Xenopus tropicalis: one gene and its partner. The protein of the gene in region 2 interacts with the protein of the main gene of each other region in a pairwise test. Links are inferred from orthologs where the notes say so. Each region holds a gene or a part of one and is shown on either strand. Other genes may lie near its edges. The genes, in order: mob3c and zbtb10.

Region 1 (4,318 bases), on a different chromosome or scaffold from region 2:
CTCTCTTGCGGCCTTAAAGGAACCCACAAATAAAACTGCAGACCAGAGCTTTTACATGCCACATGAAACAATAACAACGCAGTATGGGAATAAGCACTTGACCTTTAAACAAATAAAGGAAGTAAGTGAAACCTAGAAGCATATTAATAAAAATTATATTACATTTAGAGACAAGAAACAGGAAAGCTTTTTTCAACCATTTGTAGTCATATGACAGACCATGAAGTGGTATGAATTCAATCATTTCAGACTAACCACTGAACAGGAAATCTACCTTTTCCTCCAAGTTGTATTTATCATTAAAACAAGGGTCACTGAATGACCCATCAGTGCTTAAAATTTCTTAAATTGTTGCAAATACTTGTACAATGCTTTCTGCTTAAGAATTTTTGAAAGAGGTTACCTAATTGGTTGCGTCCACTCACAGAAACACAATATATATCTGCTTAATGAGGTAGATCACCTTTAAATTAACTTTTAGTATGATGTAGACAGTAATTTGCAAATGCTCTTAGTTTTTTATTTTTTTGTGTTTTTTTTTGCTTAGCTCTCTAATTTTAGCAGCTAAGGGTCCAAATTACCCTAGCAACCTGACGGTGCATTTCAGATGTAGTAGAATTAAGTCTAAAGCAACTGGATTTACCAGTCATCCGAGTGGCTTCTTCATAGAAGAGGAAGAAAAATAATTTCAAAAACTATAATAACAGCACAGAACATTCTATAGTTAAGTTAACTAAGATGAGAGAGAGAGAGACAGCAGATGCCACCACAGTCACATCTCCAAAAGTTGTCTTAGGACAAGGGCACACTCTCCACTTCTCTCCACCTGCATTTTGTAGCATCGGCCTGTTTGCAGCTACACAGCTGAGATAAGCCCAAAAATGCATGCATTCTCATTTTTGTGTGATCTGTGTAGCTTCACTTAGACACAGGAGCATATAGGACTAGATCCTCTTCTCTCCACTTTCCTACAAAATGCAGATGGAAAGAAACCCTTGCCCTAAGGTATACTTGATAATTCTACTTGATAAAATGTATCTGCTCCATGGTACCCTCTTACTATCTATTTTCTTCTTCTTTGCTTGTTTGTTATTTCAACTTGCATTTATATGGTGGGTTTTCTTTGTCTTAAAACAAAGCCTGGATTGCACTGATGAGAGAACAATACTGAAAAACCCAGTTTGAAACAGTGCCCTCTGTTGGCCAAACTGATATTTGTTATGCTGGCCTATGAAATAATGGTCTGTGACATTAAACTCCCCTGATGAAGCTGATTTTCCAATTACGTGACTTCTTTCTTGGCCACTAGCTTCATTATTCATACAGCAATGGGTTGGCCAACTGCCTTGCATCTCTGGCATGTCATTCATTTCCCTTCCATTGAACACAGTTACCAAGGTCAGGCATCCTGACATCTCACCAAGAATGCCATATCTGTGCCCTATTCTACATTTTAGCCTGAGAGCCCGATACCCACCTAGGTGTGGACGACATCAAATAGGGGCAAGTGTCCTCCCCTGAAATTCTGTATACCTCACAGAATCGAGTAGGGAGGGCAGAGCAGGGTAGAGCTGTACTGTATTCCTCTTCTTTCCCTTACACGCTTATTAGAGAAATTAGGATACAGGCAATACAGCTCTGCCCTCCCTACTGGGCAATGTTACTCCTGACAGGCAGCTACCTGTTGGAAATTATTCCTTGCCACAGTTAATGGAATGCTCAATATCCTGGTTAACTATTTCCTGTAATAATTATAGTGGCACATCTGGGGTTAATATACTGATTCTGCATTTCCTGTAGTAATGATACTGGCGTATCTCAGGCTAATATGCAGATTATCCATTTTTCATAGTAATTATACTGGTACATCTGCGGGCAAAATGCCCATTTTCTATTTTATTTAGTGATTATACCGGCTCATCTGAAGTAAAGATTTCCATTATCTGTTGTAACTATACAAGCACGTTGGGTTAATATTCAGATTATCAATTTTTTTGTAGTAATTATACTGGCACATCTGGGGTTAATATGCTGATTATGCATTTTTGTAGCAATTTTACTTGCATACCTTGGGTTAATATGCAGGTTGTCAATTTTCCTTAGTAATTATACTTGTTATGTCTTGGGTTCAAATATCCATTATCTATTTTATATAGTGATTGTTTTGGTAAATTGTGTGTGGTATTTAGGAGCGTGTCCAAGTGCATGTGGCCAAAATTTTCTCATCATTGCAGAATTTCATATTTTATACTCTCTACTTAAAGTCACCCTAGTCATACAATTATGCAAGTTGTAAATACTGGTTTCCTACAAACTTGGCGCCTAGTAATAGTAAACAGGTTGTTTTTGCTTGATGACTTTGACTCCTGAAATGTACCAGCTGCCAGCAGAGAAAATGTATCGAACAGCCCTCTGCGATGCTATTCTAATAATAACAATACATACAATACAGTCCTGGCCAGCTTAAAGGCGATCTGAGCAGGTAGAGCAGCAGGTAGACGAGCGCCTGGGTTAGCCTGCCACGGCCACCTCACTTCCTTCACGCTGAGCGGTAACCTAGACGCTAAAGCCAAACACACTATAATAACTGCGCATTGATCTGGTGCGTGTCCCCTTTATTTAACTCTTGTAACTCCGGGCCACATGGGTGCGCACCGTGGGAACTGGGTCTTGGGCCAGAAATCATGTGCTGATTATTTAGCTGTTGCCACAGGAGCTGTGCCCCTGCACTGCCCCAGTCTCCCACTCACCGTCCTGCAGGCACTTCCGAACGTGTGGAACTGGTGGAACCAACTGGGTCCAATGGTTCGGGAGCGGGTTATTGTCGGCTGTGGTGTAATTGCATGACGGCACAGTGAGCTCGGAGCTTTGGGAAGTTTGTATTAAACAAACTGCCTTTTTTCCTGTCAGTGATGTCACATCCTGATTTTGTCTAGAAGTCTGTACAGCTGTTCGTGTCACAACCTGCAGGCAGCCCGCTCCCACTCTATTCCACTCGCACTGTGCTCTTCCAGCGTGTGCTGACTGACTAGCTAAACCTTATTATACAAACTCACACAAAAATATAAATCTATCTATTGCCACACAGAGCATAACATGTCATTTGGTTGTTGGTTTTTGCCTGTTTTACAGCTTGCCAGGGTTATTAGTCTACTGTAATGTAGACTAATTACAGGCTATGGACACCTCTATGTATTCCACTAACACCCTGCCAGGTAACCAGGGTAAGTGTGATCATAGCAACCAGATCATGTGTTGGCTGTGTTGCTAATACAAAGAGGGCAATAAATATCTTAGGCAGGCAAAATATCTACTGAATTGCTTTTTCATACAGTATATATATGTGAGGGGGATGGCAGACAAAAGCATTTTTTGCACAAGGTAAAGTAGATGTAACTACAAAAATGCTCTTCCACCAGTTCACCTGCAATAATGTTTACCAGTGGGCAGACATACGCAGGCTTTTTTTGAAGTCCCCCGAAGTTTCATCTTGAGGCAACTTTGAAAAAAACAGTCGTATGTTTTTCTACTGGCAATTATTGCTGGTGGGAAAGCATTTTTCGGAGATTAAATCACCAGGGGCTGCCAAATGTTAGGAACATATTTGGACTGGGATATAAAATAGACCCTGGCATTTCCAGTACACAGAGGCCCAAACAGCCCATGGCCAGCCCAATCAATAAGTGACTGGCATTTGTCAGAACTCACAGATTGCCAGTCTTGGCCTATATAGGCACCCCCTAGTGATTATAATCATTTACCATATACCCAAGGGGAGTGCCCGTGTTAGCAGAAAACTAGGGTACCCCTGAGTGAGCACCACATTGCAATATTTTTCCTGCTTCTTCCTTCTTCTTGACAGGTACACATTTGCAGTAGAGTGAAATGTTTAATAAAAAAGCCGGCTTTCTCACTCTTCTACACATGCAACGGCCGAGGCCACTGAAGATCAAAGAAGCAGAAAAAAATCATTCCGTTGTACTACAGAAGTTCTCTGGGCCTGTGCAGTTTTCTGGTAACCGGAGCAAGGACCCGGGTTATCAGCTAAGTGATTACACTATAATCACAGGCAGTGGCAGCACCCCACAAGTTTCTGGTTATTAAACCGGAAATTCAGCTCTTATAGTGCAGAGAGCGAAATTGCACTAGTTATGCAGTCCCTCTGACCAGCTCCAGTACAGGAAAGGTAATCATGGGGTGCGAAATATATTTTTCAAGCAGTATGTGCCATGTTGGTGAATTGCCATTTTAGGTGCTACAGCCCATCCCTCTGGCTTATATGTGTCACTGTGCTGACAGACAAACCAAATGCCCAAAT
Region 2 (4,361 bases):
ATTCCAGTGAAGAGACTCCTATGTGTGGAACTAAATGGGCATATAGTAAACTGCAGTACAAGCAAACTGACCAGAAACGTGCCTGCTGCCTCCACATAAGTGTTGAAAGTGGCCGAAAGGTCACATGATTGGCTGAATCTCTATGGATTTTAGTTACACTGCAGGTTCCCTTGGGGCAGTGAGTGATGATATTAACTAACTGAACACTCCCTGCAAAGCATCACATACATGCTACATAGAATCATAAGTGATACTAAAGTGCTTTTTAAAAGAAAATAAAATACTGTTTTATGCTTTTCCCCTATGCTGCAGTATAAACATACAATCCCTAAAGCAATACAATGTATGCAACACTAAAAAAAAATATAGTTAAACCCCATGACCTCTTACAGTGCATAGTTTACTGATGAAAAAAAAAAATACTTCTTGTGTCAACAGAAATGTAACAAGCATAAGTAGTGAGTAACATGGGTATTTTGAAGCAAAAGTACTTGTGCCACAAATAGCAGTAGGTTATGCATACTTTTTTAATCCCTAAAGATGGGGGATATGTTCCTCATGAAGGAAAATTATATTTTAGGCAACTTCCCAATGAACATTCAGTATGAATTTCCAGCAGGTTATTTGCAAATGCAATCACAGCTATTGTCCCTTTCTATACCCGGCATCCGTGGGTCTGACTCCTAAAACGTTAAATGTAGCTGCAGGGCAGTGCTGACTTCTTATGTGGGTTCAAGAGCCAAGACCAGCAGCGCATAAAGCAGGGATCCCCAACCTTTCTTACTCATGAGCTACAGCCAAATGTAAAAGGACTTGGGGAGCAACACAAGCACCATAAAAGTTCATGGAGGTGCCAAATAAGGGCTGTGATTGGCTATTAGGCAGCCTCTATACATACTATCAGCTTACAGGGGGCTTTATTTGGTAGGAAATCTTGTTTTTATTCAATCAAAACTTACCACCAAATCAGGAATTCAAAAATAACTCCCTGGTTTGGGGGCACGGAGAGCAACACCCAAGGGGTTGGTGAGCAACATGTTGCCCCTGAGCCACTGGTTGGGGATCCCTGGCATAAAGGAACAGGGAAACACTGGCTTCAATGGCAATTACATTTACAAATGAGTTTGATGGGACTGCCAATAGGAAAGCTGCTTGGCATATGATTAGGCAAATGTTTATTGTTGGCTGTACATCTCCCATAACTCTACCCCAGGCTGCACCACGTTGCTTCATGCCTAGACATGGGATTTTGTAGCTAAAGTGGCACTCTAGGAACGACTTCCTGGTGCTGCACAGCCCATGTGTATGTGACAGAGAGGGACAAGCGGCCGGGTATACACGGACTGTCGGGCCCCCATTGGGGAGCAGCCACGTAGCGACACGTCCCCTAAGCCAGGACAGTCCGCAAGCGGGCGGCGCCCACCTGGGGGAGGCACAGGAAGGGGACAGGGGGAGTAGAAGAACAGGGCGGGGGGAGTACACTTCCGGCCTCACAGCAGCATCTTAGGCCCCTGGAACAGTCTATGTAGGTCACCCCCTTCCTTCCCAGGGACAGTGACTGTGTGCAGCGCCCCCACCCCCTCCCGGCGTGAGGCAGCGGATAATCAGCTTTACCCACAGGGTGCGCAGCCACTGGCTCCAAGGGCAAAGCTGCCCAACAAAGGGGCGGCCGGGTCACGTGATCCGTACACCCCAGGAGCCATGATTAGGGGCCCGCCATGGTATAGGGGACATGTTGTGTCACAGAGAGAGGCAATGTTACACGGCCCTACACTATGGTATAAACACTGCACCCACTCCCGGCCCCTTATTACCTGAGCAGCTGGGTCGTTGATGCGATGCCGGGCGGTGAGGCTGTGGCGGAGCAGCGCGGCCCGCTTGTAGTTGCGAGTGCCCTTGGACAGCTCGTCGCGCCCGGGGCTCCCTCCCTCCTCCCTGTGGCACCAGGCGCAGGACATGAGGCCGGTCTCTTGGCAGAAACGAAGCCATTCGAATTCGTGCAGCCAGGAGCCCTGGAAGGAGCAGTGCAGGCTGGGCAGCAGGGACTGGGGGCGGGCAGCCGGGAACAGGCCGAAACGCCGGGTGCCATCACCCTGAATGGCGCAGTCTTCTTCTTCTTCCTCCTCTCCCGGCTCCCCCTTCTCGGCCTGCTCCCCGCCGCCTGGCACTGCCTCTTCTTCCTCCTCGTCGTCGTCCTCTTCTTCGTCGTCCTCTTCGTCACTGCTTTCCCCGCTTACCGAGCCCCCCTGCCCCGCAGCCGTATTACTGCCTCCCGTACCGGCTCGCTGCTCTAGCCGGCTTCCCAGCACCACTCCCGGGTAGGCCTCGGTCTCCTCTTCGTCATCCTCCAGCAGGCCCTCCGCGTCTAGCTCCACTTCTACTTCTTCCTCCCCGCCGGCCCCCCCTCCGTTCATCTGCCGCATGGACCAGGCCGCGGCTTCCTCCATAGACAGGACCCCTGAGCCGACGCCATTGTTGTTGTTATTGTTCACGGGGGTCCCCGCTGTGGACAGGCCGCCGCCGCCTCCCCGGAAGGCCAAAGTCCTGCGGTTCATCTCCGCCATGTTTTACGGCTTCCCAACCTGCCACCTCCTGCCGGGGGCCACCACGCGTCCCGCCTGTGTGGGGTGCCTGTGAGTGTGCCTGCCCGCACCGCCGCGCAGGGGCTTCTGGGAAGTACAACAACCGCCCCCTCCGGTCACCGAGCGGCTACTGGGCAGCCCCAGCTCCGTCCGTACTACAAGCGCGTTCCTCCGTTCGGTTTGCGTGTAGGAAACAGATGGCGCCTAGGGACGCATCTCTCCCCCTGCACGGCCCTCGCTGAGGTCGAATGGCAAATGAACAACGGACTGCGCCCACAATGCACCGGGGCGCTGTCCGGAGAGGGGGAGTCAGGGGGGCGGGTGAGGTGGGGGTGGGGGGAGGCCTCCTTCCATGCACAGGCTATTACTGTGCCTCACCCCATTGCTGGGACTGCACCCTGTCTGGGGGAAGGGATTCGGCTAGGGACAGATGGGTTCTGCTTGCACAGTCTGCCGAATTCATGGGGCTCCCGTACCCCAACATTGCTTCTGCCTGTCTGTGTGCTATCTGTATTTTCATACTCGCTGGATACCCTGCGCCTTGGCTTGTTAGCTGGGGTTCGATTTGTTCTCATAAGCGGTCATGTGTAATTGCTAGCAGCCCAGTGTTTGGTGCAGAGAGTTGTAGTTCGACAATAGGTGCTAATATCATTGTTCTCATTATATGTGTCAGGTTAGAACCTATGTTAACATGGCTCAGTTCTAGGTGATTCTGAACTCTTGTAGCCTACTACAGGCAGTGTTTGTTCCACTGATTTAGTTCTGGGCTGAGTCCCATACACTTGGCACAACCTGCCATTGCTTTCCTATAATAAACCTGATATCTGGATGAGCTGAGTTTGCCTGTAGGCTCCCTTCTCTTCTGTACATTACAACTAACTCCTGCTGCACCTGTCACAAGTCAATAAGATTATGTCACCAAAGGCCACACTGGGACCAATATTGTCTGCCCACTCAGCCACACTTGACTATTGACCTGTGTATGGGATCCAAACAACTGCCTTCCGACAAAGCTCTGCGTAACCTGCTAGCTATAGAAAGAAATAAGTATGTGTGGGCAACTTGTGCATAAATGCTTAGGATTTCTATAAAGTGTGGTCATGGCGACTGCCCAAACGAAAGCAACCCCCCTCACACCCTGAGAATGCATTTAATATATATATGTTAAAGGGGTTGTTCAACTTCAAACAAACCTTAAGTATTTTATTTGTTGTTTATTTTTTTTATTTATTTGTATTGTAGTTTTGAATTTCAGCAGCTTTCTGGTTGCTAGGGTCTTGTTTACCCTAGCAACCAAGCAGTGGTTTAAATAGGAGGCAGGAATATGAATAGGAGGGGGCTTAATAGAAAGATAAAGAATAGAAAGTAACAATTATCAGGGTTGGAACCGATCCCTACTGGGTGCTTCGGGGCCCGCAGGTCCCCCTCTACAGACGAGCCTAAGTATGCATGCTCGGGGGAGGAGGATGGGTGAGCAGCGGGGGCTTGGGGGCGTGGGGACCACGGGGGGGAGGCCCTTAGGTTGTTGGGCCCATGTGGTGGCAGCCCTGGTGGGCCCTGCACCCCCCACTCCGATTCTAACAACAATAATAATAAAATTTGTAAGTTCATGGAGTAATAGTAGTTTAACTACTGAGGTCAGTGACCCCTCATTTGAAAACATGTAGAAGAGAGAGGATAATAATTAGAAAATTATAAAAAAAATAATGACCAATTGCAAAGTTGGTAGAAATATGACATTCTATAACATTAAATGTGGTACGTGAACAATCCCTTTAA

The links.
Region 1: the proteins of zbtb10 (region 2) and mob3c interact in binary tests that used the Homo sapiens proteins (3 or more experiments, as listed by UniProt). The link is inferred for Xenopus tropicalis from reciprocal best matches to the Homo sapiens genes ZBTB10 and MOB3C.

What each region holds. Positions count from the first base shown.
Region 1 is NC_030680.2:93,708,560-93,712,877, forward strand, and holds the start of mob3c (MOB kinase activator 3C), read right to left. Parts: upstream 3,005-4,318; 5' UTR 2,751-3,004; intron 2,557-2,750; exon of another isoform or gene 2,446-2,556; intron 1-2,445. UniProt on the Homo sapiens protein: May regulate the activity of kinases.
Region 2 is NC_030682.2:123,656,377-123,660,737, forward strand, and holds the start of zbtb10 (zinc finger and BTB domain-containing protein 10), read right to left. Parts: upstream 2,950-4,361; 5' UTR 2,565-2,949; coding exon 1,815-2,564; intron 1-1,814. UniProt on the Homo sapiens protein: May be involved in transcriptional regulation.